4 linked regions of the Medicago truncatula genome follow. The protein of the gene in region 1 binds, or shares a complex with, the protein of each later gene. Links are inferred from orthologs where the notes say so. Each region holds a gene or a part of one and is shown on either strand. Other genes may lie near its edges.

What was found.
Region 2: kinetochore protein NDC80 homolog (region 1) and kinetochore protein NUF2 homolog share a complex: the UniProt entries of both Arabidopsis thaliana proteins name them as parts of the NDC80 complex. The link is inferred for Medicago truncatula from reciprocal best matches to the Arabidopsis thaliana genes AT3G54630 and AT1G61000.
Region 3: kinetochore protein NDC80 homolog (region 1) and kinetochore protein SPC24 homolog share a complex: the UniProt entries of both Arabidopsis thaliana proteins name them as parts of the NDC80 complex. The link is inferred for Medicago truncatula from reciprocal best matches to the Arabidopsis thaliana genes AT3G54630 and AT3G08880.
Region 4: kinetochore protein NDC80 homolog (region 1) and kinetochore protein SPC25 homolog share a complex: the UniProt entries of both Arabidopsis thaliana proteins name them as parts of the NDC80 complex. The link is inferred for Medicago truncatula from reciprocal best matches to the Arabidopsis thaliana genes AT3G54630 and AT3G48210.

What each region holds. Positions count from the first base shown.
Region 1 is NC_053043.1:10,660,078-10,667,320, reverse strand, and holds the start of kinetochore protein NDC80 homolog, read left to right. Parts: upstream 1-4,218; 5' UTR 4,219-4,325; coding exon 4,326-5,410; intron 5,411-5,767; coding exon 5,768-6,014; intron 6,015-6,565; coding exon 6,566-6,712; intron 6,713-7,243. UniProt on the Arabidopsis thaliana protein: Acts as a component of the essential kinetochore-associated NDC80 complex, which is required for chromosome segregation and spindle checkpoint activity to ensure proper cell division.
Region 2 is NC_053049.1:40,977,528-40,984,681, reverse strand, and holds the start of kinetochore protein NUF2 homolog, read right to left. Parts: upstream 3,024-7,154; 5' UTR 2,842-3,023; coding exon 2,672-2,841; intron 2,596-2,671; coding exon 2,371-2,595; intron 2,279-2,370; coding exon 2,185-2,278; intron 2,098-2,184; coding exon 1,918-2,097; intron 1,611-1,917; coding exon 1,521-1,610; intron 94-1,520; coding exon 1-93. Other genes in the region: basic blue protein, read right to left, coding at 3,985-4,187, 6,365-6,530. UniProt on the Arabidopsis thaliana protein: Acts as a component of the essential kinetochore-associated NDC80 complex, which is required for chromosome segregation and spindle checkpoint activity to ensure proper cell division.
Region 3 is NC_053042.1:48,947,161-48,954,141, forward strand, and holds the start of kinetochore protein SPC24 homolog, read right to left. Parts: upstream 3,001-6,981; 5' UTR 2,867-3,000; coding exon 2,677-2,866; intron 143-2,676; coding exon 1-142. UniProt on the Arabidopsis thaliana protein: Acts as a component of the essential kinetochore-associated NDC80 complex, which is required for chromosome segregation and spindle checkpoint activity to ensure proper cell division. Required for the maintenance of plant architecture.
Region 4 is NC_053045.1:51,670,348-51,677,189, reverse strand, and holds the start of kinetochore protein SPC25 homolog, read left to right. Parts: upstream 1-3,829; 5' UTR 3,830-3,915; coding exon 3,916-4,054; intron 4,055-4,135; coding exon 4,136-4,201; intron 4,202-4,295; coding exon 4,296-4,442; intron 4,443-5,861; coding exon 5,862-5,975; intron 5,976-6,060; coding exon 6,061-6,150; intron 6,151-6,234; coding exon 6,235-6,357; intron 6,358-6,791; coding exon 6,792-6,842. Other genes in the region: uncharacterized protein, read left to right, coding at 34-497. UniProt on the Arabidopsis thaliana protein: Acts as a component of the essential kinetochore-associated NDC80 complex, which is required for chromosome segregation and spindle checkpoint activity to ensure proper cell division.

The sequences.
Region 1 (7,243 bases):
GAAAGCAAAATTAAATCAACCTAAATTATGAAACCTAAACTCAGATTATTATTTTCCAATGTTTTATAACATTGCATTTTAATGAAACTGTACGCAGATGACTTAATCAAAATACACTATCTGAAATTGACATGTTATATTATACCCTATATAAAATTGTGTTGATGTAAACTTATGATCAAAATACATAACTTAATATCAGGGTATTGGAAAGCTTACAATTAAAGTATAAAAAAATCAGACTTTTTTTTAGGAAGCTGTAGAGATATATATTTTCGATAACCATGAACAAAAATAAAATTCGCGCACTGATTACCCTTTCTGAGAGTGTGGCAAACAGTTACATTACCTTGCCTGATTAGATCCTTCACATCTTGAATCAAGACAACATAAACATGGTATCATATAGTCGAGCCTTTGATGGGGTTTATACAATGCAAGGAGTCGGTATATCAAACAAGCTCAATTATATTCAAGTTTTTTTTGCCAAAATAAGCCCCTAGTAAATAGCGTGAAGCTCGGCATACATGATGTCAGAAGAATCATTAATATAGCCTCAGAAACCTGATAAATAATATCCAACATTGTTTCGAATAATTCCACCAAAACCAGCTCTCGCGGGGGTGCCCAATCAACTACCAATCAGGAATGATACCATTGAGTTTTGTTTTTAACAAACCTGGTTTTGCATCCGGTATAACTAGAGTATAAGAAGAGAGAAATATGAATGATATTTGTACCACCATTTTATAACAATTTTTTTGTATAACTCTCTTTTATACTCACAACATGTTCTTATTTTTCCTCTTCATTTTACTTTCTCTATTGTTTTTGATTAATAAGAGAACAAAAGAAGGTTGTCACAAAAGCTGTCACAAATGATTGTATAAGTATCACTATTCAGCAAAATGGAAGGTGCGTAGGAAGGTGGGTGATGGTTCTGATACGTTGTTTTGGTTTCACTGGTGGTGTGGAGGGGCGCCCCTTAGAGAGCAGTTTCCCAGGTTGTTCGATTTAGCTGTAGACAAATATATTACTGTTGCTAACTTGAGGTTGTTGCGGGGTGGGGAGGGGTGGAGTTGGAGGCGGAGGTTGTGGGCGTGGGAGGAGATTGTCTTAGAGGAGTGTAGGACATTATTGCTTGATGTTTCTCTGTTTACTGATATTTCAGATTCTTGGATTTGGCTTCCTAACCCTATAGGAGGTTATTCTGTTTGAGGTGCTTATGAGGTGTTAACAGCGACTGTCAACTCCATCACGGATAGTGTTGTGGATTTGGTTTGGCATCATCAGGTTCCTTTGAAGGTGTCGATATTTGCTTGGCGTCTTATGAGGGATCAATTATCGACGAGATCAAATTTGGCATCAAGAGGCATCTTCAGTTAGACACGGCTCTCTGTGTCACAGGGTGTGGTTCAATTGAAACATCAGATCATTTATTTCTATCTTGCCCGTTTTTTGCGGATTTATGGGAGCAATTGCGGCTCTGGATAGGCTGTGTGGGGGTCGACTCCAACATTATTTCTAATCACTTCGTGCAGTTCACTTGTTTGTCAGGTTTTGCCAAAGCTAGGCGATCGTTTCTTGAGTTAATATGGCTTTTGACTACTTGGGTGATTTGGAGTGAGCGTAATAATCGTTTGTTTAAAAATGTTGTAACTGAGGCTCCTAGACAAGGGGATCCCCTCTCCCCTTATCTTTAGCAAAATTAATGGCTTTCCTACTGAACAGTTTTTCCCTCAGAGAGGGATTAGACAAGGGGATCCCCTCTCCCCTTATCTTTTCATTCTTTGTGCAGAAGTGCTCTCTGGTTTAATCCATAAATTCAAGAATCAGGGTCTCATTCATGGTATTTCTATTGCCACTAATGCTCCTTCTCTTACCCACCTTCTATATGCAGATGATAGCCTTCTTTTTTGCAAGGCTAAACCTGAGGAGGCTGTTCATATTGCTAATATTCTTACCCATTACCAGGCTATTTCTGGCCAAAAAGTGAATCTCAGTAAATCAGATATGGTTTTCAGTCCTAATATTAGTAATAGTACAAAAGAGCTTTTTAAGGCCAACCTTCATATTAACATCAGTGATAATATTACCAAGTATCTGGGCCTCCCTACTCAGTTTGGCAGATCTAAGTCTCATGACTTTAGGTTCATAATGGATAGAATAAGAAAAAAATTAAAAGGCTGGAAAGAAAAAAACCTTTCCTTTGAAGGTAGGGGTGTCTTAATTCGTGCTGTTGCTCAGGCCATTCCTGTTTATGTTATGAGTTGTTATCTCTTACCTATTTCTCTTTGTGAGGATATAGAAAGGGCAGTTTGTAATTTCTGGTGGGGTGGCACTGAACACACAAGGAAGATTCATTGGGTTTCCAAGCAAATTTTATTCAAACAGAAGAAGGAGGGTGGTATGGGTTTTAAAATTCTCAGGGATTTTAACTTAGCCATGTTGGCTAAACAAATTTGGAGACTTCACATTTACCCTGATTCCCTTCTGGCTAAATGTTTAAAAGCTAAGTACTATCCTAATTCTGATGTCCTTAAGGCTACTGCTGGTTACAATCCCAGCTATGCATGGAGAAGTTTACAAAAATCTATTTGGATTCTCAATAAAGGCTGTTGCTGGAGGATTGGAAATGGAGATCAGGTTCATATTCAAAGTGATAACTGGCTCCCTTATAATAATGGTTACAAACCTATCTACTCTAACCCCAATAGCCCTCCTATGGTTAAAGATTTACTTACTGAATTCCCCTTTGATTGGAATTATAATTTACTTCAGCAAAATTTTCTGCCTATGGATAGCTCCCAAATTGCTCAGCTTCCCATTATTCACCCAAACAAACCAGATGTGCTTATGTGGATGTTTGATCTTAGTGGAAGCTATACGGTCAAGAGTGGTTATAATGCTATTCAAAACTGGAAAGCTACGGCTAGCAATGACTCTTCAGCTAGTTCTGTCAATAACACTCTTTGGCAGAAATTATGGAACCTTAAAACTATTCCTAGACACAAATCCCTCTTATGGAGAATCCTAAACAACTCCCTACCTCTGAGGGATAATTTACTTAGAAGAGGAATTCAATGCTCCATATTATGCCCCCGTTGTAATATCAAAGAAGAAACTATGACCCATCTTTTCATGCGTTGTTCTCATTCAGAGAGAGTTTGGTTTGGATCCCAACTATCTATTCAAATGCCTAGTATTTCTAACCAACAATTCTCTGACTGGATTGCGGAAACTATTCTCAATAAAGATAGCAACACAGTTATACAAGTAGCAGCTATTACTTACAGTTTGTGGTATGCTCGAAATCAAGCTGTCCACGAAGACATCCTCATTCCAGAAACTCATATCATTCAAAGAGCAGCGTCAAGCCTCTCAGCATATCTGAAAGCTAATGCGAAAGTATCAGAAACTGGCTCCTCCCATTCCAGTGTTGTTTCCACAAACCATGGCAATCATGCTTCCTCTTCGGAAAAATGGAAACGTCCTGATCATAGCTTCGTAAAGGTTAATACCGATGCCAATTTGCAAGTCCAAGGAAGGTGGGGTTTAGGATGTATCATCAGAGGCGAGGATGGTAATGTGAAGCTATCGGCGACTTGGAGCAGGAATGGTTTTTATTGTGCAAAAACGGCGGAAGCTTATGGAATTTATGCCGGAATGGTTCTTGCGGTGTTTGCAGGTTTTCGTAAGATCATTTTTGAAAGTGACTGCAAAAATGTTATAGAGAAGCTCAAAGACCCTGTTTTAAAAGATAGAACTTACCTTGGAGCTATCTTATGCGAAATCTGCTTGCTTAGTGGTCAGTTAGATGATTGTAGATTTCATTTTATTCATAGGCAGGGCAATCATGTGGCACACACTTTAGCCCAACTTGCCCATGATAAACCTAATAATATTTGGTGGGAGTCTGTTCCTAACCAAGCCCAACCTATGTACATTCATGATCTAATTAATTAATTCAATCAGTCTTTTTTTTCAAAAAAAAAAAAAAAAATATTAGAAGATTGATTTTGCAATCGATTACCGATACATCTTGTTGTCTGCTTGTAATAATATGTAATTTCTATAATATTTAGTTACATTAAATAAAAGTTTTTTTTGACAGGGGATTAAAAAAAAAGTTATTAATTAAATAAAATAAAATATTCCACTCCACGATTTAAAAATTAAAAATAAATCCGCTCCACGTTTCTTGAAGCTACTCTCCCTCTTCCGACACAAAATTCAAGTCTCACACACAACATACCCGTTGCATTCAACAACAAGAAGAGGGAAACCTCTTCATTTTCATTTTCAAATTCATCACTCACTCCAAAATGAGACAACCCACCACCACCCACCGTCGCCAACCCAAAGACACCTACCCACCACCAACCCCTCTCAACCACCGCGACTCCGACATCAGTCTCGTCAGCAGCCGCCCCTCCTCCGTCGGAATCCCCTCTTTCGACCTTTACAAAGACCGCTCCTATCAACAATCCGCCGTCGCAACCATCAACTCCTTCCTCTCCTCTCACAATTTCCACATCTCTTTCAAATCTTCTCCTTCCCCTTCCGCTAAACAGATCCACGAAACCCTAATTTTCCTTACCAAACTCCTTGAATTTCCTGTTACAAAACTCGAAGACGATCTTCCTTTACTTCTCAAACTCTTCAACTACCCTTTTAAACTTAATAAATCCATTCTTAAAAACCCTGCTACCCCGCATCAATGGCCTTCAATGCTTTGTCTTATTCATTGGCTTGTTCAGATTTGTAATTTTAACTTATCTCTCTCCAATTCCTCCAGTACAACAACTATTCTTCATAACAATAATATTCTCTTTGGATATTGTTTGAATAGTTATCTTAATTTTATTAGAGGCGATGACGAGGCTATTCTTGATATGGAGGATCAAATTCGCCAAAAGATTCTTCATGAGAAATCTGTTGCTCAGGAGAAGCTGGCTGCTGTGGAGCTAACTGTTGTTGAATTGGAGGCGCAATTGGAGGAAGTGAGATCCGCGCCGTCTAAGAAGGATGAGCTTGAGAAAGAGAAGGCTGTGTTGGAAGGTGATGTGAATAAGTTTCATAAGATAATCGAGGAGTTTGGGTCAAGGATTGATCCGCTGGAGAGGGTTTTGATGGAGAAGGAGAAGCAATTGGAGGCTAAGGTGGTGGAGAATGAGAGGATTGTTGAGGAGAATGAGGAGCTTAAGAGTAAAGTGGAGTTGCAGACTTTTAATGCGAGAGATGTGGATAGGATGAAGAAGGAGTTGCAGGCTGCTGAGAGGGATGCTAGTGAGGCGGAACTTGCTAGAAATGCTTGGGAGGAGAAGTGTTGGGAAGTTGATAGCACTCTCGCGCATAAGATCAAAGACTTAGAGGCTCTCTCCATCGATTGCAACCTGGCCCTTAGGAGGTTCTTTTATTTTCTTCATGTATTTTACTGTGCCCCATTTGTTTTATAATCATTTGTTAAATTGCTGCTATAGTATAGCAGATTTTGGACCAACCGCTATTGTTTTGAGATACGTTATGTTATATAGTACAAAATGTTGTCAAATAGTGGTTGTTATAGTGGTGCTATAGCACCATTGCATAGCGAAATTTAACAATCCTCTATTTTACACTATCAGCAATTGAAAACACTGATCATATTTACTAGTTGAATGTGCACTGTTTGGCTATTTGTTTTAGACTAGACAAATTCATTCGCTGTGTTAATCTTAAGAGGGAATTAATTACTAAGCAAATGTTTCATTTCATGTGCTTCTAGGTTGAAGATTGGTAATGACATTCAGTATGTGTTGAATCCCAAGGGAACCACGCCTGCTGAAATCATGGGTTTTGATTACAAAGTCATGCTGAAGCCTGTACTTGAATCCTATGCTGATGACATCAAGAGAAGTTCGGTGGTGAAATTGGAAGAGTTGGTTTCCCTTCAGAAAAAGTCCGCTGAAAATGCTGCTAGGCTTGAGGGGAAAAGAAATCAACTTGCTGCACTGCAGTCACGCATTGATCAAGTAAGTGTATTTTTTCATTCTTAGTACTGATTTTAATACTTATTGTGCGATGTGTGCTTGTGCATTACATGAAGGACATGAATCCTAATTTTCTTAGATTGATTATTGTCGAATTTGATGTACTGAGAGAGTGAGTTTGGATAGAGATTGATTATGTGTGAACAGTGTGGTATCAGAGTGGTGCTGGCCTGAAGGAATTAGAATGTGGAAGCTGATGCAGGGGTAATGTTGTTGAATTGATGGCTCATGCCTGTGTTTCTTACTTGTTGCACTACTGTCTACTAGTTCTTATTTATGTTTTTAGTTGTTATCTTTACACTTAGAGAAAATGATATAGTATGTGACCGGAAAACAAAATTAAAATACTATTAAAAGGAAAATTCTTTGCTGTAGATGACAAATCAAGTTCATACCGACTCTTCCTTTTTCTGACAATGTTTATGTTACACTCTTTGTTGGAGTTAGAAGGGCATTTGAAACATAAATTGTCTTGCCTTGTAAAGACTGTTGTTTGACTTTTCTTTTCTACTGCTTGTTGATTTATTCACTAGCTGGAAACTCAAAGGGACATGATAAAGAAAGAAACACAGGACTACAGAAATAGATGTTCTGCCGAAGCTAAGAAGATATCGGACGATATCCAGCTAGCTGATCATGATGTGGGCATTATGGAAAGAGAGGCAGCTGAGGTTCTAAAGGTAAAATCCGGATTCTTATTTTTATCTTTAATAGTAAAATCAGTTGTATTTGAACCAAATTGGGGTAAAAGGCGTTGGTAGTTGTTATATGTATTGAATATTTGAACATCTGTTTGTCATTGTTATGTTTATTGTGTTTCAATGAACTTGGAAGGTGACCAAAATTTGCTGTAAATATGCATTCCACATTGATTGGCCAATTTCGTGCCAGTTTAGTTTTTGGATTTTTTCCTAAGATGCTAGTTGCTACCCATTGATCTTGTGTTTCAATCATTTTTTTGGCTGTATTATACTGTGCAAGAATATGAGTGCATAATTTGACATAATTTCTTACTTCCGCAACTAGCATGTTTTTCGTACTGTGTTGAATCCGTTCCTTTTTATTGCAAGCTTTGGCTTACCCTAGTAAATGATAATCAAACTGGGAATGTTGAAGAAAAAAGGCACACTAAATGTTAATTGCATATCTATATTTGTGATATGTAACATGTAACTTGCAGTTATATATTTGTAGTAACGAGTTAGTTCAAG
Region 2 (7,154 bases), on another chromosome or scaffold:
AACAAGGGCAGTCTTCTCATGGAAATTGTGCATGGCTAATCTTTCAGCATTTCTTGCCTCCTCTCGAGCTAATTTCTTTTCCTCTAGAGCTCTCTTCATGCAAGATAAGGGAAGCAAATTTAAATAGGTAGAGGCAGAAAGATAAAATCAGAGATTACTCTACACAGCAAGAACATCTTAAAATAAGCATGCAGTGTTTGTTCACCCGAACAGTGATAATAAATTCATGGTTAAAATAAATGTTAGTGCCTCTAGTCTCCTCTTACTTTCAATTTAGTTCCTACAATTTGTTTTCTTTTCAATTAAATTATCACACTTACAAACATCTTCAACAGACTGATTTAAAGGAAAAGAGCAATTATTTCAAGCAAATACCCAAAGGCTGAATTCATGAAACATGCTAATAACACTGTCAAATACCAGAATAACACTAACAGTGACCTGTTTTACGTCAAATACCATTTTTTAACATATGAACTATGAACCAATGAAGATAGTTTTTGGAAAAACGTATAAAAGAGTCTATTTCTACATTTCCATATCTCTGTCCTTCTCCCTTGGGTCTGCCTACCTATTTCCTACTACTACCAATTTCTTACAATTTCACCTCAAATCTCCTACAGCAATTACCACCGGAAGCACCCACACACAAAATGAATCAATGACAATTTGGTAGGAAGCATTAAAAACAGAACCACGGTGGAAGATTCATCATGATGTCCACCCACCGAGCCCACAAAGAGCTTTATACCAATTGATAGAAGATACGGGTATATTATTAGTTATTACTGAAAATGGGAATCCCTTTGATTACAAACAATGGCAGCACATTGAGGGTCTGCCTGCCTATGCTAAAAGGCCCTATTCCTCTCAAATGGCAAGATGATTCCATCTCTAATCCTCCTCTCTATTTATAGGCAGCATGTCTTATTTGGCCTAACTACCTCTCAAGTCTCAACTCAGCTACTAACTACCCATTAACCAATTAACTAACCTCTTAAATAACTACTTAACTAACAATAACAGACCTATCAAGCAGCCATTATGTTGTGACTTTGGTGTAATGCAACTATGAGTTATTCTTTTATGTTGGGTTGTGTAAACAATTATGCATTTTGAGATGCTACTTGTGTAGTCACAATTTTTTGATACAATAAAATTATGGAATATGAAGGACATAAATTATGTTGGATGATTTTTTCTCTGTTGCTGATATTGTCAGTAGCTCCTTGTTTTGCTAAGCGCAGGTGTTATGTTACAGCAAGCTTACCAGGCTAAATATGTATTAAGTTAATGTTAGCATGTGCACCGGTCACTACCCAAGAGAAGGTTGTGAGTCGCGAGAGTTTTCCACTGTGGTAACCACACAGAGGTAAGGGCAGTCCTATAAAACACATTTACAATATTCACACAGGAAGATGGGGTGGAAAAATGCAATGTCCATTACATTTCAAAGCTAAGATTGTAATAAGTTAGATTTTGTGAACAGAATAGACTAATAGCCAACATGAAAATGATACCTGTACTTTATCAGGCGATTGAGCAATTTTTGAAAGTAGATTTCCATGCTCTTGAACATTTTGTACCAGTTTATATTCAGCATCAGAAATCTGAGGTAATAACAAAAGGAAAATCGAGTTAGAAGTAAGAATTGTCATCAAGTAAAATAATTTATCACCAAGTACCAACACAGGAATTAATATATATTATAAACTGATCAGATTAAGCTGCAGTCTGCAATATATGTTCAAGTTACATAACTGACAGGGTTAAATGTCCTAATCCACCATTAATTATTCACATAAACATCTATGCCTTTACTGAAATGTATTCCATATACTACTCAAAAAACCCAACATCAAGAAGTAAGACTATGCAACTCATTATGCTAAACTTTCACTATCGGTTAAAGCATACCTTATCATCCATTTCCACAGTCTTCTCCTTCAACTTCTTTATTGTACTTCTCAATGACATCTGTTTATTGTTCAGGTTCGCAATAGTTTGACGCAACTCTTTAACTTTTGCATCCACCTCCTGAACAGAAGGCAATTCCCTTTCCCTCGCTTCATTGCATTCAGCAATCGCCAATTTCAACTATAACAGAATGAAAATCTATCAAATAAAACACCAATACCAACACACACAAAAAAATAAAAATAAAAATCATTCAATATTATAAACCTGTGTAATATTATTCTCTTCAATCTCAACTATCTTCTGTTCCAACGCGTTGAATTCGTCTACGATTTCTGATATCGCATTCAATCTCCCATCCCTGATTTTAAAAAATTTAACAATTAGGTTATGTTTTATTTTTCCTTGATGATTTAGCAGAAATGGTTGAAGAAGTGAGAGTAACGAACGAACCTGTCGAGACAGAAATTGAGAAGAGCTCCAAGGAAAAACTCGGTTCGATGAGGATCGGGTTTGAGAAGATCGGCAAAGTTAAATGTGTATTTCTTAGGACATTCAAGTAAGTTAAGCATTTCCTTGATCTTGTTGTAAAGCTTGATAGCATGAATAGATCCAACGTGAAGGTCGGGATTCTCGAGATGCTCTAGTGCATCGAAATCAAGCTGTCCGTTGTCTTCGCTGTGAGAAATTCAAAAAGAGAATAAAAATGAAGCGCGTGAAGCGAAGATTGAAGAGAAGGGAAAGGGATAGTTACTCGTGGAGAAAATCGAGGTAGTTGAGGATGCGAGTGTAGAGATCCAAAACGACGCCGGTTCTGGGGTTGGAGATGTCGTTCTCTGTAACGGTAGCAATTTGAAAGTTGTTTAGGAGTTGAACTATTTCTGGCCGGCGAAGCCTTGGGTATTCGTAGTTCGACATCGCCATGTTCTTCTTCAACCGCTACTCAGACGCAGAGATTGTTAAAGTGACCGTGTGTGTGATTCAAAATTGAAAATTGAAAATTGAAAATTGAAAATTTTGAGTCCCGCCCAAAGTTTTTTAGTATTTAGTAGAGTGATACACGAGCAGTGCGCGTCTGTACGGATCAAATCTATACAAAAATCAAAATTACTGGTGAATAGACAGACTTATTGCTCCTTCATTGATTTTTGTTCAATTGTACAAATTGAGATTGAACCAAAAAATAAATAAATGAAATTCTGGATAATTCTATAATGTAAAGATTTTTTTTAATTTTATTTTACACACTCTCAAGCTAGGTCTCTCACACAAAACTTTTTTATTTCTACAATACTCATTTTCTATTTTGAATTTCTAACATTGACTTCATTTCACACGTCACCGCTCATCGTTCCTCTAGTCCAATCTCATATCGTCACTTCTCTAACTCATTCTCATATCATCGCAAATCTCATGCAATTTATCTTCGGACAAACCCGATTATGTTTTCGTATTGTCATGTACTTGTTGAACCCAAATCTCATCAAATTTGATCGAATTCGTAGACATATTTAAATTTAAAAATTGGTTCGATCTAATGTGAATACCATATTCAGATCACATAAACCCGACTTAATCCGTTCTTTTTTTACCCTTAATATTCATATATTAATATCATAACAGCTACACCCAAATTATTATTACTATTATTATTATTATTATTATATGAAAAGACAGATATTGATATCATAATGATTGCACCCAAATGAACGTGTAAGGATGTAACATTACAAGCAAAGCATAACAAATGTAATTTATCTAACAAAAGTACAAAAACTCTGAATAAATTAAAATTAATCACCAAAACAGAACTTACTTCCCCATAATACTACTTTCATGGAGCCACCCAAAACAACACATCACAAGGCCCAAACAAACTTATTCTCTTGAGACAAGATCAGTCACCTTGATTCAAACAAACAGAACCGTAGGAAAAACTGATACTTAATTTAAGGAAACAGCTTCTGCATGATTCAACTAATATGAAAAGAGCAACTGGTATGAAATTTGCAAGGCACGCATATAAAAGTTGAATACATTATTGATACTTAAACTCTAGTATAAAAATCAAGCAGCATTGATGGCAATTTTCACACCAGAACCGCAGTGACCTGGAAAATTGCACATGAAGTAGTTTTGTCCCTTAGCAAGCCTGACCCGATCCTTCCCTGACCGATACACTTTAGATCCCCTTCTTGGAGTACTGCACTTATCATACACTTCTTTGGTTACTGCCACCACATTGTGAGTCCCTTGCCTATAGTTGAACACTGCACAAACATATGAAAAATTATATTTACACTCAAGAAATTGGATAATTATTAAAAGAGTCGTATAAAAAAATATCTTCTGTGTTATATTTTTTTTATTAGAATAATATTAAGATGCTTGACATAAAAGAAAAGAATAATGTTATTAACCATAATATTAAGAGGAAGCATTGAAATATGGATAGTGCCATATATATATATGGATTTGCTAAAACACACCCACTAGTTTTTATGTGGGAGTGTTTTAGCAAGCTACATCTTAAGGTGTATTTAACTACTTTTTAGTTAGGCTTAAATATGTAAAAGGTCCCTGTAATTTAGCGTGTTTTTGTTTTTAGTCTCTGTAAGTTTTTTTTTTCTAAAACAACCCTTGTAATTTCGAAACCTTTTGGAAATCATCCCTGACGTCAGGTTCCGTCAACAAAAAAGCATTGTTGGGTAACAGAGACACACGTGGCAGTTTCTGAGTTGGCAAAAGTTGCTGACGAAATGTTCATAGGGACGAAAACCAAAAACGCAAATGTTCATAGGGACGAAATTGAAAAAATGTAAATATCAAAATTTCAAATTTAAAAACAAGATGATCTTCTTCATCATCCCTCTTTTTTCTCTTGTTCATCTCCCTTCCCTTCCAATTTCTTTATCTCCCTAGAAAAAACTCATCCCCTCGTGGCAATGTCTTCTCATTCCAATTGTGAATCTCCCTTCCCTTGCAACAGCTTTTGAGGCTACTCAATCTCAACCAAATGTGAATTCAGTTTTGACAAACACACCCAATTACTATACTTAAAACAATTAAGTGATTCTGCATCTTTTGAAGCAGTTTTATTTATGTATATAACTTTATTACAAATTATCTTATTATTAAGTTTAATTACTATATTATAGAATTGTGTTTTCCATAGCTTTTCTGCTATGTGACAGTCAAACAACAATGTGGCAACTGCCTCCGTACAAACCTCTACACAAACTCAATCACATAACATTGGGGATACTGCCTCTGCATAGACTCAATTACCCACCAATGAGGCAGCCTAAACAATAAATTAAACATATTAAGCTTTTAATTAAATTAAACTTTGTTAAAATTATACAACAAACATAGTATTATAACAACGAACTCACCGTAAAGGTTGGACATTTTCAATATCTCCTTTTAGGGTTTTCATTTAAATTGGAGATGAACATCCTTATGATTTTGGAGATGATGTATTAGCAATGGAACGAGAAGACATTGCCACGAGGGGGTGAATTTTTTCTAGGGAGATAAAGAAATTGGCAGGAAAAGGAGATGTAGAAGAGAAAAAATAAGGATGAAGAAGAAGAAGAATATATTGTTTTTAAATTTGAAATTTTGACATTTACGTTTTTTTCAATTTCATCCCTATGAACATTTGCGTTTTTGGTTTTCGTCCTTATGAACATTTCGTTAGCAACTTTTGCCAACCCAGAAACTGCCACGTGTACCTCCGTTATCCACCAATGCTTTTTTGTTAACGGAATCTGACGGCAAGGATGATTTCCAAAAGGTTTCGAAATTACAAGGGTTGTTTTAGAAGAAAAAAAACTTACAGGGACTAAAACCAAAAACACGCTAAATTACAGGGACCTTTTACATATTTAAGCCTTTTAGTTATAACTTGCTAAAACACACCTTCTAAAAAATAAGTGGGTGTATCCTAGCAAATGCGTATAGGAGTTGCTAACATACACCCACTTATATTTTAGAAGGTGTGTTTTAGCAACATTCACCTTAAGATGTGTATTTAACAACTTTTTAGTTATATCTTTACTAAAACACACCTTAATAAAAACTAGTAGGTGTGTCCTAGAAAACCCCATATATATATATATATATATATATATATATATATATATATATATATGACTTTTTTTAATCAAGGCAGAGAGAGTAAAGACTTCCCTAGAAAAAACAAGGAGATGTGTTGGGGGGGGGGGGGTCACCAATATGGCCCTCATGTCGAATAGTATTAGGACAAAATAGCATCTTTGTATTTTTTTTTTGTACGTTTTCAGTTCTTAGGAGAAAGGGACTTTGATCATTTTAAATTTGATTGAAATGTAAGTAAAGTTTGACAAATAATTATTATAGATTTATGGTCACGATTGTATTAGAGTAAAATTTAATAATTCTCTAGTGATTGGAAGATACATACCAAGTGTGTCACCAGCCCTAAATCGTTTTCCTCGAGACCACCCAACCGTGTTAAAGGTCCAACCTACAGTACCTCCAACATTGTAGGTAGCAGCATGAACAAGCTCAGAGTTAAGAACAAAAAAGCAGACTAGTAGAACCACCACACTGCCTCTTCCCAGAGCCATGTTTTCTCTACTAGTACTTGCTAGAAAGCTGTGAAAGAAAGGGATTTGGATGTAAGAAAATTTGGAATAATGTGGTAAGGTTTTATAATTGAGGAATGAGTGAAGAGGTCTGCAAGAAATCTTATGGGAAGTTGGTTAGATAGTAGATACCATAGACGTGGGTCTGCCCAAAATATTCAATCCGTAATGATTCTTGAGATGTATGATTTTTAGCACAAGTTGTAATTGATAATTAAGGTACTATCAATTTATGATAATACTAGTATTATGATAGTGGTTCAAGTTAAACTCCACCAGTTCTAAATTGTCGATAGTACATTTGACTTTAAATTTGGTTTCATGGCACCAGCTTCGCACGTATGCCTGAGTGCTAACCCATTTCCTAAGATGGAACTCAACTAACAGCATATGTCAACCTCCCATGGCATAATTTTTCTTTGAAATGTCCTACAAGAAAGTACATTAATAGATGGTGATGTCATGGTTGACCTGGACTTATATTGTTATATAGTATTTCTCATTTTACTATTTTTTTCTGTAAAAAAATACTTATATGATCACAATCTCATAAAAATTATTTAAACACATATTTATTTATGCGTGTCTAAATGAGTTTTAGTTAGG
Region 3 (6,981 bases), on another chromosome or scaffold:
CTAAACTCCTCTTTCAACAGGCTTTCTTTTTCAAGTTCTTCATCCAGTTCTCTCTGCAAAAGCTCCAGATCCGCATCAGCAGCAGTCTCGGATCTAGCATGCTCAATTTTCTGTTTGTGCGAATCTATTTTTTTCTGATAATCTGATTCAACTAAGCATTGGTCAAGCACATAATACAATTATACAATCAAGAATATCTACGCATAATAGATAGCATTGATATGAGCTAGTTGAGCTAAAAGGAATTACTTTAGATGGGTGGCTATTAATAGTGCATCACGGAAAATAGCAAGAAAGAAAAATTCCGCTATGTGGAATACCGGATAGCGGAAGCCACATATCGGTTGGAATAAATCAATTATGTAACTAAAAAGCATGCTATATACAAATAAAAATAAGCTGAATACAGATAAAAATCAACTGTATAAAGTGACAAAATTAACTCAAAAAGCTCAATTGTTCATAATTCTGACTAGTGATTACTCAAAGCAGTAAATAATGATTGAACATAAAAGACAAAAGATCTATTCATTCTGGTCCCCTTTTCCAATATAATCATCATTCTTGTTGTCAAATAGTGAATCGCATCTTTCAACTTCTACTTTAGAATCCTCAAAATCAATTTCTTCTAGTTCTTATTGATTTTTGGTTTTGGCCATCCTTATATACAACTTTCCAATTAAGGGCATCATCATAGTAGGAGACTAACAGGAGAATCACTGAAAACTCATTAGAGATGGAGCAGGACATATAGAAAGGGAATGGAGGCAGAGCTCAACAGCTGGGGGGGTTCTGAACACTGCCACCCTTCTACAAAATAACATAGTCCTCATAATAAAACCATACCAGAACACAATGCCAAGGTAAACTCTAATAACCATCTGATTCTTGCAAGATAACTTCAAAAAAAAAAACACACACTCAATTAGCACAAACACTTCTCCATATTGACAAGCCCATCATGTAGAATTCTACAGGCTTCCACGGTCTGCGTCCTGTTGTGCTGACCAGAAACTTCTGCATAAACAGTGCAGCTGGATGTGCACCACCACCTCCAATCTATTAATTATGGTGAATTAATCTCATCCACTTAAATGCCACCCACTTCCTATGATCTACTTTCTGCCACCAGATCAAACTTGTATTTTGAAAGCACTGCATCCCATTCCTCCAGACCCACGATACAACCGTCTCCTGTTAAACCATACCACCTCATTCATAAACTTTATCATAGTTATATACGACTCCCCAAACATATTAAAGGCTGAGAACTATTGAGATATTGGCTACTCAATTCCTAGAATTTGGACCTTCAACCAATTCCACAATGAGATCTTTACCGATTCCAACATCTCGTCCAACTCAAATGATTTTCTCCCAAAAACCATTTTATTTCTGCTTTTCCACATCGCCATTGACCCCCTGCTCACTCAACATCGTCAATCAATTTCTCTTCCCTTTGAAACAACCTCTTTTTCCAGCTGCATTTCCATTCCCGTGTTTCTTAGACAAAATTACAAACTCCATTCACCTTAGCCTCGTTGTTGTTTGCTATGCTATACAATCTCCAACATCTATCTTGAAAGGTGCCATCTACTATCCATTTGTCCAACCAAAATATTGTATAGCTGCCACTTCTCACTAACTTTCTCATTCTATCCAAACAGCAATTATTTTGAGATTCCCATATTCCCTTTTCCATCGCTTTGCTGTCTCGCCACCAACTGGATTCATTACCAACCACACGCACTCCATCTTGGCTTCCATATTTAGCCATTATCGCCTTTGTGCACAAAAGTTGTCTTTCCACTTTGAGTCTCCACACCCATTTTACAAGAAGTTCTAAATTAAAACCTCTCAAATTCTGTATACCCAACCCACTCTCCCCATATCTCTCTCAACACACTCTGTCCCAACTAACGACCCAATGAATTTTTCTACTTATCATCAAAATCTACGTACGGCGCTATAGAACTATAGTGCCGCTATTTCCGTATTTTAAAGCATTGCTTTAGAACGAAACAGTTCCATTGTCATACCAGACACTCACACAAACTACTTCCAGTTGAATTACAAGTGAACTTTGTATCAAATCGAACAGCATTTCTTATTTTCCATTATTATGACTTAACTATGTAACTGATACCACATCTAAGACAATGATAGAGAAAGAGAATGCAAATATTGAAAAACCATATTGCAAACTTCCACTCCATTTTTACATAGTTATACTCTTCAAGTTTTGAAACTGTTAACAAACACCTTAATTGCACATGCAACACCTCAAATAAATAAATAAATTACACACTAGTACTAAGAGATCCAATCCAATAGTTCTCCATATAACAATCCCAATTGCCAAATAAACATAACATAGCAAATAATCACAGCCACAGTAAGTGTAAGAAACATGAAAACTTAAACCTAAATCCCAATTTTTTCTGACTATCATTGTTTGTGAATTTCAACTATTAATATTCATACCAAACTTAAAATTAGCAAAGTAAAACACCAAAAGAACAAACAGCAAATAAATAATGATGGGCAACACCAAAAATCGAAAACCCAATAAAAAAAAAATCATAAAAATGAAAACTTTAACAAAACAACCCAAACCCCGTAATTATTTTGTGGTAGAAACGGAAGAGATAGAAAAAGGCAAAAGAGTAAATTGACCTTGGAACGAGGAGAGAACCTCATTGAGGTCGGAGTGGCAGGAGGAAGAAACGGAGAGTGTGTGGTGGAGACATTGAGAGATGATGTTGAGATCACGGTCATTAGCGGGATCTTGCAAAACCTCAATGAGGTCGTTGCTTATGGAAATAAGCTGATCCACGTCGAAGTTTCTAGAAGAATCAGAAGCCATTTATGTGGAAGAAGAAGAAGGTGGTTTTTCTTTCGTTCGAAATTGGAAGAAGAAACGAAATTGGAGTTGATGAAAGTAAACAAGGTTTCAAAATTGGGGTTCTTTTTTTTTTTTTTTCCTTTGAGTCGGAGGGAAACACTTTCTTTTGATTAAACCAAGAGAAATGACATTCTACGCTCATTGTGACAACTTTTAAATAACTTTCTCTCTAATAGTCACGTATATTTTTATTCTCTCTATTTCTTTGTCTCTCTCCATTGTTTTTGATAGATTGTCACCAAAGTTGTCATCTATTGGATGTACAAATATCACTACTCTTAAATGAATATTCCCTCGGTCTCAACGATTGAAAAAAAAAGAAGTATAAATTGCATTTTTGGTCAGTTAACTATTTAGGTAGTATTGCTTTGGTCCTTTAATTAAGATTCGATTTATTTTGGTCCTTTAACTTTCTCTCTGTTATACCTTTTGGTCTTTTCCGTTACTTTTAATTCAAAAACGTTAGTGTTTCTTCATTTTTTTTTGGAATTTTTCCTGGATTTTTGTTGTTGAAGGTTGATGGAAATGATATGAAGATGAAAAACAGGAGAAGAAAATGAAAAAACTCTAACGTTTTTTAATTAAAACTAACGTAAATGACCAAAATGTGTAACAGAGAGAGTTAAGGGACCAAAATAAATCGAATTTTAATTAAGGGACCAAAGTGATACTACCTAAATAGTTAAGGGACCAAAAATGCAATTTAGCCTAAAATAATTGATCCATTTTATTTTTTTTAATACAATGTTAATTATTATTTTTTAATTATAACTTTAATTAAAATTATTTTCATCAATCTCAATTCAATATATTCTACTTTGCATTTATGATAATGAAGAATGCATAAATACTTGACAAGACACTCAAAATTATTTTCCTCTCTTCATCAGATGGAGGAAATAGTTAGTATTAAGATTAGATTTTTAAAAAAGTTATATAACCCCTTTCGATAGGAGTTGGAATCCTCTTCATTTAAAGAACATCGTTAATTGAAGAGAAATGGACCATTGAATACAATAATTTTTATTGTCAAATAATCTAATAGTTAAAATTCACCTTTTTAAAATAAATAAATAGGATGTTGTAACACCCCGTTTCCCAAAAATCAATTAATTAATAAAACATGCATCAGAGTAATTCCCAAACGGGCATGTCACACTTCATTTTCAAAATTTTTTAAGTAGAATATAAAATCTATTTAATAAACGTCCTTCAAAGTCATCATTAAATTTGCAGCGGAAAATTTGCATCAAAACAACAACAGCAACAGTTTAAATCTCCATAATTAAATCTTTGGCATAAAAGCCTTATCAACATAAATTCAACAACCATAGGGCTACGTCAGCAATATTCAAAATTGATACATAGGAATGAAAAACAATAAGAAAATCCCATCCCGTACGTATCAGAGCCCTAGACACTTTGAGCCACCACTTCTAATAAGCTTCAATACCTGCAAGTTACCCATACGAAAGGCAACAATTCCAAGCAGAAGGGGTGAGATTCACAAACAATAATAATAGATATATAAATCATCAACTTAATTAAATAACGTAATAAGCAACATATATTCCCACAATAATATTTATACTTCTTCAACTTTAATAACTCTTACTAAATCAACCAACAACGACAACAACAACTCGACCACAACAACAATATCTCCATCAACAACAACGACCACAACACAACCTACAACAACCACAATATCACCATCAACGACAACATCATCCACTACTTCAACGACAACAACGGCGTGGTACTATTTTCAACACATTGAATGACTAAGCATTCCGGGGCATAAGCCCCCCACAATTTGAATGATGAACATTCCAGGGCATGAGCCCTCAACAGATTGAATGACAAGGCAATTCCAGGGCATAAGCCCTCAACGGTTGAATGATTAACATTCCAGGGCATGAGCCCTCAACAATTTGAATGGCAAGGCATTCCAGGGCATAAGCCCTCAACGGTTGAATGACGAGCATTCCAGGGCATGAGCCCTCAACGGTTTCCTAATCATGAAAGGACTCGACTTGTGTATATCAGCATACAACTCAACTACGACAGCAACAACATAGGCAACGACAACGATCGTGCATAATAACTCACTCACTCCCCAACTTGGTCAACATCAACAACCTATGACTCCGTTACTTGGAAACGACAACTCGCCACTTACAACTCGAACCAACACATTGTACATTCTAATTGAATGCAGTTAAGTATAAACCAGCGATCATTAACAATCATAATCAATCAACAGCAACACAACAGTATACGTCAGCATGATATGATAATATTTTATACAATCCAACGATGTCTAGCATTATCACATAAACCAAGTATTACTTATACAATTTTATCACATTAATAACCTCAATTTGCCATAACCAGCTTCACAGTTCATCATTTATATCCTATACATCTTTCATTGCTATCTCAAAGTTCAGCTCACAACCTCTCATGCGACAAAGCCACATGAAAATCCTAAACAAAGCAATCTGTCAAGCACTAGCTCGCGAGGCGAGAGCCTCTACTCGCCACGGCGAGTTAGGGTAAAACACTCTAGATTCCATTCTGACTCTATTCTGAGTTCAAACTCAATCTAAAACTTTGCCTAATCATTAAGGTACATGTTCAGGCCCTCATAAACATCTAAGGTTAAACTCACAGCTCAAAATCACGAGATCTTGCAAGCTCTCTGGTCACACTCGCTACGGCGAGTAAACTTGCTCGCTATGGCGAGCTGCGAAATGCAACTCGCGAGGCGAACAACTCCTGCTCGCGAGGCGAGCGATGATCTTCATCACTCGCTACGGCGAGGATCATCTCTCGGGAGGCGAGCGATGAATAACAGTACGGGCAGATTACAGTTTTTCTCAAAAATTCACCCAAACCCATTGTTCTAACCTTAAAACTGATTCTAAACATCAATATATGAAACATCTAAGGTCTGTTCATCATTTCTACATCAATTCACCCTAATTCCATCATTTAATCATCAATTCTCTCCTTAACCCTAATTCTCAATCCTCCAAATTCATTCATAACTTTTGTCAAACAGAATCAGAATTATATAAACTAAAATCATTGCAAGTTAGCCTCACCCTTACCTTAATTCAGATGAACAAAGCTCTACAATTCTGATTTTCTTCACCTGGCTCTCCCTTGGTTCTCTTGCTTTCTCTTGTTTTCTCCCAAAACTGATGTACGTGAAAACAGTTTCTCTCCTCTTTCTAACTTCTCCCTTTTCTTTTCTAAACCTAATTCAACTTCCTCTATTTCCACTTAATCCCACACAACTCTCCTTATTTCTAAATCAGCCCCTTGAACTCCAAATATTCTAAATTCCCACTTATTCTATTAAATAGTAAAATAATTCATTTAATAAAATATGACACACCACATAATCAACATAATTATATAAAATCATATATAAAAAGACTTTAAATCAACCAATAATAATTAAATAAAATTGGGGCGTTACAGATGTTGTGTCTGATGTTCGAACTCGACCTATAAATATAGAATGTAATGTTTATATCAACTAAGTCAAGTTCACATGGACAAATACAACAATATTAATTGAATAATATGATTATATTCAATAGATTTATCTCTCTTGAAATGATAGTATCTATTAAATAGAAAGGATCTTTAACTCTCTCAATAGGACTCTCATCGGAGTCTAATGATTCCTGGTTTGGATTTCAGTTTAAAAAATGTTCAAACCGATCAAATTAGAATCAATTCAGTTTGGTTTTCAACATATCAATTTGATTTGATTTTTCAATTTCATCAATTTTGTCGGAACCGTTTACACTCTTAACTCTCATTTTAATAATGTAGATATATGCTTGCAAATTTCAATTACAAGTTTCTCTATGAGTATAAAAAACAAGTTTCTCCAAGAAAATTAAACAAATGTAAGAAAAATATATATATCTCCTGCTCAAGAAGATTTTAAATAATTGTCATTCAATAATGAATATAAGCTGTGTTGTTTAACGAGGTATTAAGCATGGTGTTTCTGATTTTAGTGCAATTATTAATGACTGCAAACGTCTCTGTGA
Region 4 (6,842 bases), on another chromosome or scaffold:
TTATGATTGATTACCCTAATTTGAATGTTACAGAAGGTTCAACATCTAATACTCGGCGCGTAAGGGAGGCAGAGCATGCTTCCCGTAGGAGAGCGTGTAGCCAACGGCATGAAGGTGGTGTTCCTTCGAGGCGTCTGGGTGCTAGAGGACGTCATGCTGATGTAGAGCCTGGTGTCGAGCATCAGCCAGAGTGGCAAGAGTATATGGACTTGCAGCAAGAGCAGCCTGATGTGGGCTTGCAGCACATGGAGGATCAGGAACTTGAGGAGGAGTTGCATGCTATGGACGAGGAAATGGAAGATGTCGAGCCACGACAAAGGCGAAAGAAGAAGGAGAAGGTGGTGGACCCTGAGCCACTAAATGACTATCCTGGTGGCCCACACGAGACTGGCCTGCTCTGGATGGCTGAGATTCAGAGGCCGCATGGTGAGATATCTGCCGGAGAGGGTGCTTCGTCAGTTTGGGTGGGTTCAGACCATACCGGGACATCCCGTTGAGGGTGCAGTTGTTGATGTTAATTTGGCGGAGATCACAAACCGCTTTCTCCGTGCACTTGATTATGCGTTGACACCTAAGCAGTTGGTAGAGCCTGCAGTTCATGGTGTGGAGGCAGAAGATGGATATACCGATTGGTTTTATCGACATTCCCATCCACACATGATTCTTCCAAACATGTCGGTACCGGTGCCGAGGTCATTGGAGCGTGAGATCCTTGATGCGCGAGCTGCTCAGAAGGATGGAGACCTTGCCTACTTACAGCTTAGCGGAAGGATGAGCCGCATTAGAGACCACATCTATGTTGTGATGAGAAGTGGTCTGGTGCCGAAAAGGACTGAGGAATGGTAACATTTGGAGGACGCGTTGAAAGAGGTGAATGACGGGAAAGTTTACCGTCGTCGGGGAGCTACTGATGGTGGCAGGGGTGGTGGCAGAGGTGCTAGGGTGTAGTTATTAGGGATTGATTGTATTTTATTTACTTTTAATGTTTGAATATTTTGGATCACAATGTTATGTAACATTTGGATAATTATGTTTTATTAATGTTTGAAAATTATATTGTGTTGTTAATTTCGATTTTATAACTTGATTTTTTGGTCTGCATATGGTCAAAGGCCAACAACATTGACTAAATCTACTCTAAAACATAGGCTCAGCCAAAACAGATGACTTCTGCCTCTATACTGATGCAGTTTGGATTATATAATCCGGACAGATTTATAACATCCGGATTATATAATCCGGAACCATCGTTCACCACCCACTTTTGTTGACTTTCAACGGGGTGATTTACACTTTTCAGATTATATAATACGAAAATCATATAAATTGTTCGGATTATATAATCCGGATTCATCTATTCATTACTGACATCTTCATCCATCAGGGTGATTAAGTGCCAAAATCCACGAATAAATCCGGAATTAATATTCCGGAAGTAGTTCGGATTATATTTTTCGGACAAAGGGTATTTTGGAAGAAAAAAAATAGGGCGCGTGAGGAAAGGTATAGGGTGGGAAAAGTAATATTGCAGATGCCCAATTATCATAGCCCTTTGTGCGTTTCGACGGGCCTTGCTTTCACATATATTAGGAAGATTGCTCTAGGGGACTCTCAAATTGCTCACGCCCCCTAAAAAACTTCAAAATACCTCCCTTGGATTCTAACTCCCGAACATATTGGACCCGAACTCCCATTCGCTACATTTTGGGAGCTACGTTTGATCCAACTCTATCAGTTATGGATCAATAGTTACAAGGTTTAGTCCTCTTGAGGTTAGCTCAGTTGATAGGGACAATACATAATATATGCAAGGTCATAGGTGACCACCACAAAATAAAAATAGGTATAAGGTTTGAAACTGACCCCTGTAGATGAGACGTTAGAATTCAATTGTTCAATTTTATGTTTTTTTGTAGGATCACTTTTTACAAATTGATTGGATGTTAGGATCTGATCCACTCCTGCGTCAGACTAAAACAATTTTTTACACCGAACCACAACATTTTAGAACATTAAATCACCAAAAATATTTTTTTGCACATCAAACATAAATTTAGATCAAACGTATAAAAAACACAAGTTAAATAATAGTTGATAAAAGATAAAATAATGGGCCATATATAAAACCCAACATGAATGAACATACATACTGATCGATCCTTCTTTAAGAATCGACTGATGAGTCAATAATTAGTAGTTTTAATATAATATTTGATTCTGTTTTATTTAGATTTTAAGTTTATTTATTTAAATATTATTTCCTTTTAGAACTATTTTACTTCAATTGCATATTGTTATATTTCATGAACGAATATTTGATAGATTGAGTCTTGGAGCAAAAGAAAGAGGATTAGAAGCTGATTCAGGGTGCTCTTTTGCTGCTTTTGCTTCGGAAACAAGCTACCTATTTTGATCTAAAAGCCCGTGGTTTCTTGTGGAACATTCTAGTGAATAGTTGCTTAGGTTTTAAGTCGACATAAGGCTATAACTAGAGTAGCTAGCTATCACAACAATTCATCTTTTGTTATCTGAAATAATAAGTGACAATTGTTTCTTTGAATAAAAGTTCACCTTTATTTTATGTTCTTCTTCTTCTTCTTCTTTTCTATGTCTACAATGAACGTGAGTGAGTAGACTCTTCTTGTCTTGGGATTGTTGGGTAAGTCTAAATGACATAACCCTAATCAAACCAAGCATTGAGCCCTAATTTTATATAAATCTACTTTCTAATCTAAATTCACCGTTTTAACATGTATTAACAATTACCAAACTGTAGAAGCGAAAGTGGAGGGTTAGTAATTGTTAATTTATCATCTCAAATATTAATTCATAAAGCAAAAGTGGAGTTTTGATATTGGAACAAATGAATTTAGACAAGGATTGCGAAACATGAAAATAGTCTAGCAAACCTTGAGACATATAAAGTTTCGAACTTCAATGATTCTAATAGCAACCAACCATGAAAATATGCGTGGTTGCTAGAGGACCACACTCACAAAGTTTGCTTGTGAAGGGTTTCAAGGGTTCAAAGAGAAACTTGTCTTTAGAAAGTAAATCCAATATAAAATTATGGTTTAGGGTTTGTTTGTGAAGGACTTGTTATTTAGATGAACCAATAATCACAATGCGCTTTTATTTTTATTATTTTATTTTAATTAAAAATCCAAACTTGCAAACTAAAACTCTTTTCTAATCATTGTTGAAAGTTAAGTAAATTCATAACTCCCTATCAAAACGATACTTTTTATTACTACATCGATAAACCGTGCACTTACAGTTTTATCCCATCATCGACCAATAATGACTTACAGTATCATAGTCATTTTTATCCGTGAGAGTTGTATGAACTAGTAATAGACACGATATGCAACTCAGGACACAATGTGATTCTCACTGACTAAACGAAATAGGCCTCAAATTAGACTCTTTTATAGAAAAACAAAATTACAACAAGTCGTGTAATTATGATGAACTAGATATTATAATAGTCATTATTTAAAGGGTTAATTAAGTTTTTAGTCCCTGTAAAATAAAATCACACTTTTTAGTCCCTGTGACATTTTCCTTAAGCATTTTAGGGACTAAAAATGCTAATGGAAAATTTTTATAGGGACTAAAAATGCTTATGAAAAATTTTATAAGGACTAAAAATGTTGATGGAAAATTTTATAAGGATTAAAAAATGTGATTTTATTTTATGGGGATTAAAAACAAAATTCTAAATATTTATAGGGACTAAAAACTTAATTAATCCTTATTTAAATGAATTGGAGATGTAATTTATGTTTTTGAATGACCAAAGTACACTTTCATTTACATAGTTTAACTGAGAAACTGGCCCACCACAACAACGTTCGAGCTTTTTTTTCTAACTCATGAAATTCAAAAACACTGGATACGAGTGAGTCCAGAAAGATGGAGTGTTCAACTTCTTCAACCCATCGCGACTCAGAAATCACTCAACAAATCCACACCATCGACGCCTTTGCCGCTTCCGTCTCCAAATCCTTCCAATCCATTAAAACCACCGGACAACAAACCGCGAAAACTCAAGGTCTTTAGGGTTTCATCTTTCAATTTTCACTTTCACTCTTTTCCTCATATTAGGGTTTTCATTTTTACTTTTCCTTCTCAGTTCAATTAGAAGAGGTTAAAGACAAATTGAAGGAAGTGGAAGATGAATTGGTTAAAGTACTCGCAGGTTGGTTTGTATAAGTATTAGGGTTTTCAATTTTAAGCTTATTTGTTTTAAGTAAGGGAAAATTTGTGAACTTTTTTTGTTTTTGTTTTTTCAGAAAAGACGCGTAAAGAGGCTAAGCGAATGGCTTTGTTAGATGCTATTGCTTCTGCTAAGGCTAGAGTTGGAAATCTCAACTCAAGTATTCAAGAGGTTCGAACGAGGAAACAAGAATATATCTCGTTTCTATCGCAGCAATCACTCGGTAATTAACCTCTTTTTCCTGCAAATGCTGCAATTTGTAGCTATTTAAGTATTTTATGTTTTTACAGATTCAAACCCTGTTTGGTGAAGGAATTTAACATTGACTTAGTGCCCGTTTGGATTGGCTTATTTTTGAGCTTATGAAAAACAACTTATACAAATAAATAAGCTTTTATGTCTTATTCATAAGCTTGTCAATGTAGTTTATGAAAAAACAGCTCTTATGAAGATACAATTTTCATTAGTGGGAACTTTGAGAAAATACAATTTTCACTAGTGGGAACTTATGAATTAACATAAAAACTTATTTATTTGCATAAGCTATTTTTAATGAGATAAAAAATAAGCTAATCCATGGTTGTCGACATCATGATTGGACATGGTTGTAACTTGTTCCCTATTCAAGTCTACATTTTTATTTGTTTATAGGACATATATTTGATGTTTGCTCAATCTATTTGATATTGTGCACACAATGTATGTTAAACATAAAGTAGCCAAATGCCATCTTGCATAAGTATCGAGATTACATGTACTATGAGGTTGTCATGTCTAGACGCTAACATTTTTTTTTAGTAGCTACTTCAACATGTAAATCTTTGTTTTTCTTCTGGAAGCATAGAACTAGTAAGACATGGATTATCATGCAACCTGTAAAATCATTTTTGAAGATTTTAAGTTCGCCTGTTATAAAATAAGATTTGAAGGATGTTTTTCTAACAATGGGTTTGTCATAACTCATACGTTCTTCATTAATTGCTTTTACAGAACATGTATTTATAAGTTTGAACTGTCGTGGTCGTAGTTCTTAAGCTTGTAACTATGTTGTGGTCGTTTTGGGGTTTCTGTTTGCTGGGTGGTTATTGGTTTACTACATCTCTGGTGCCGGGTCTTGAACCAAGTTTCTTGAGGTTGAAGAGAGAATCTCAACCAAGTGACTTCTCGGGAGACAGGCATTGGTTTACTACATCTGTTTAAGCACCGTCAGTCTTTTTAAATTTTTTAGGGTTTTTTTTAAAGTTGTAATGAAGTAATGGGATATCGTTGGTCCCTTTTGTGTATCAAAGTGGTAGAATTAATGAATTTGGGCTTCAAAAAAGCTTGTCTTGTACAAAATCGGGAGATTTTATGTTTGACCGATATCATGATGCCCACTTCCATTATTTTTGAATGTATGAACTGTTTACAAATACTGAACACATTTTCTCAAGAAAAAAAGTATGAATGTTAGCTGTTGCACAGATGTTATGCATTCTAAGTTTTGATTGAGGAACTATGTTTTTGCGTTTCTTCTCTATTATATATTCTATTTGATTTGTTCTACTTACTAAACTTGAAATTACTTCGTTAAAAGAAATGTTATGTACTTTTATAAGATATCCTCTCACCTCCCTCGTCTTCTCTTTTAATCCATATGAAGCTTTGGCAGCATCTGAAGGGAGGTTGAATGAAGGCATTGAACATACAGACGAAACACATGAGGCCATCTCTTGGTATAACAGGGTACTTGGTTTTCATGTCAAAGGGGGACGTGGTAATTGACAATTAACTTTTTTTGCATAAGGTTTCTTTTTATTCTTCTTCACAAAGTTGATATCCTTATTAGTTATGCTCTTCAGGGGTAAAGTTCACGTTCAAGAATATAAATTTGAAGAATCCAAATGAGGAGTACTCTTTTACTGTCTTCCATGATAAAAATACTTATACATGTAAGCAGCCTGCATTTATGATTTTATACAATATTCAGTGTATATACACTTCATGAAACCTACACCATCTCTTTTATCTTTCAGTGTTACGTTGTGAACCTTCCTTCGATGGTATTGAAGAGCTGGTCCATGAATTAAACAAGACAGATGGTCTGTTTAAGTTTGTCAGAGTAATGAGGAAAAAATTTCAAGAAGCATTGGTACAAGGTATCAATGTTTGTTTCTATCTTTTAAATGAGTGCATGCATGTGATGTGGGAGCTCTGCATATTGGAGACTGAAAAGACCGCTTGAATTGTAAAATGATAATAATTCCAAATATGCAGAGCTCCAATACGAAGTGATTCTATTAATAATAATAGTAATTCCAAATACTTCATATTATAATGATGTTTATTCATTATTTGAAGAAAATTTATTGAATGAATGTTTTACCAGTTCATATGTCTTATTGAACTGTTCAAACATGGTTCTAGTTGATTTGATATTCTTCTCATTAGCTTATTATTATATGAATATAAGTATAATTGTTCTTAATATATTTTCTTCACATGTCTAATTAAATAGTATCTTCGCTTGTTGGAAATTGGATGAAAGGGTTGCTTGTAATGAATGTAACTTTATCTAATTGCTATTAAACAGGGAGCTTAGTTCTAACAACAGTCAATCCTGGAGAATCTGCCTTTATATCTT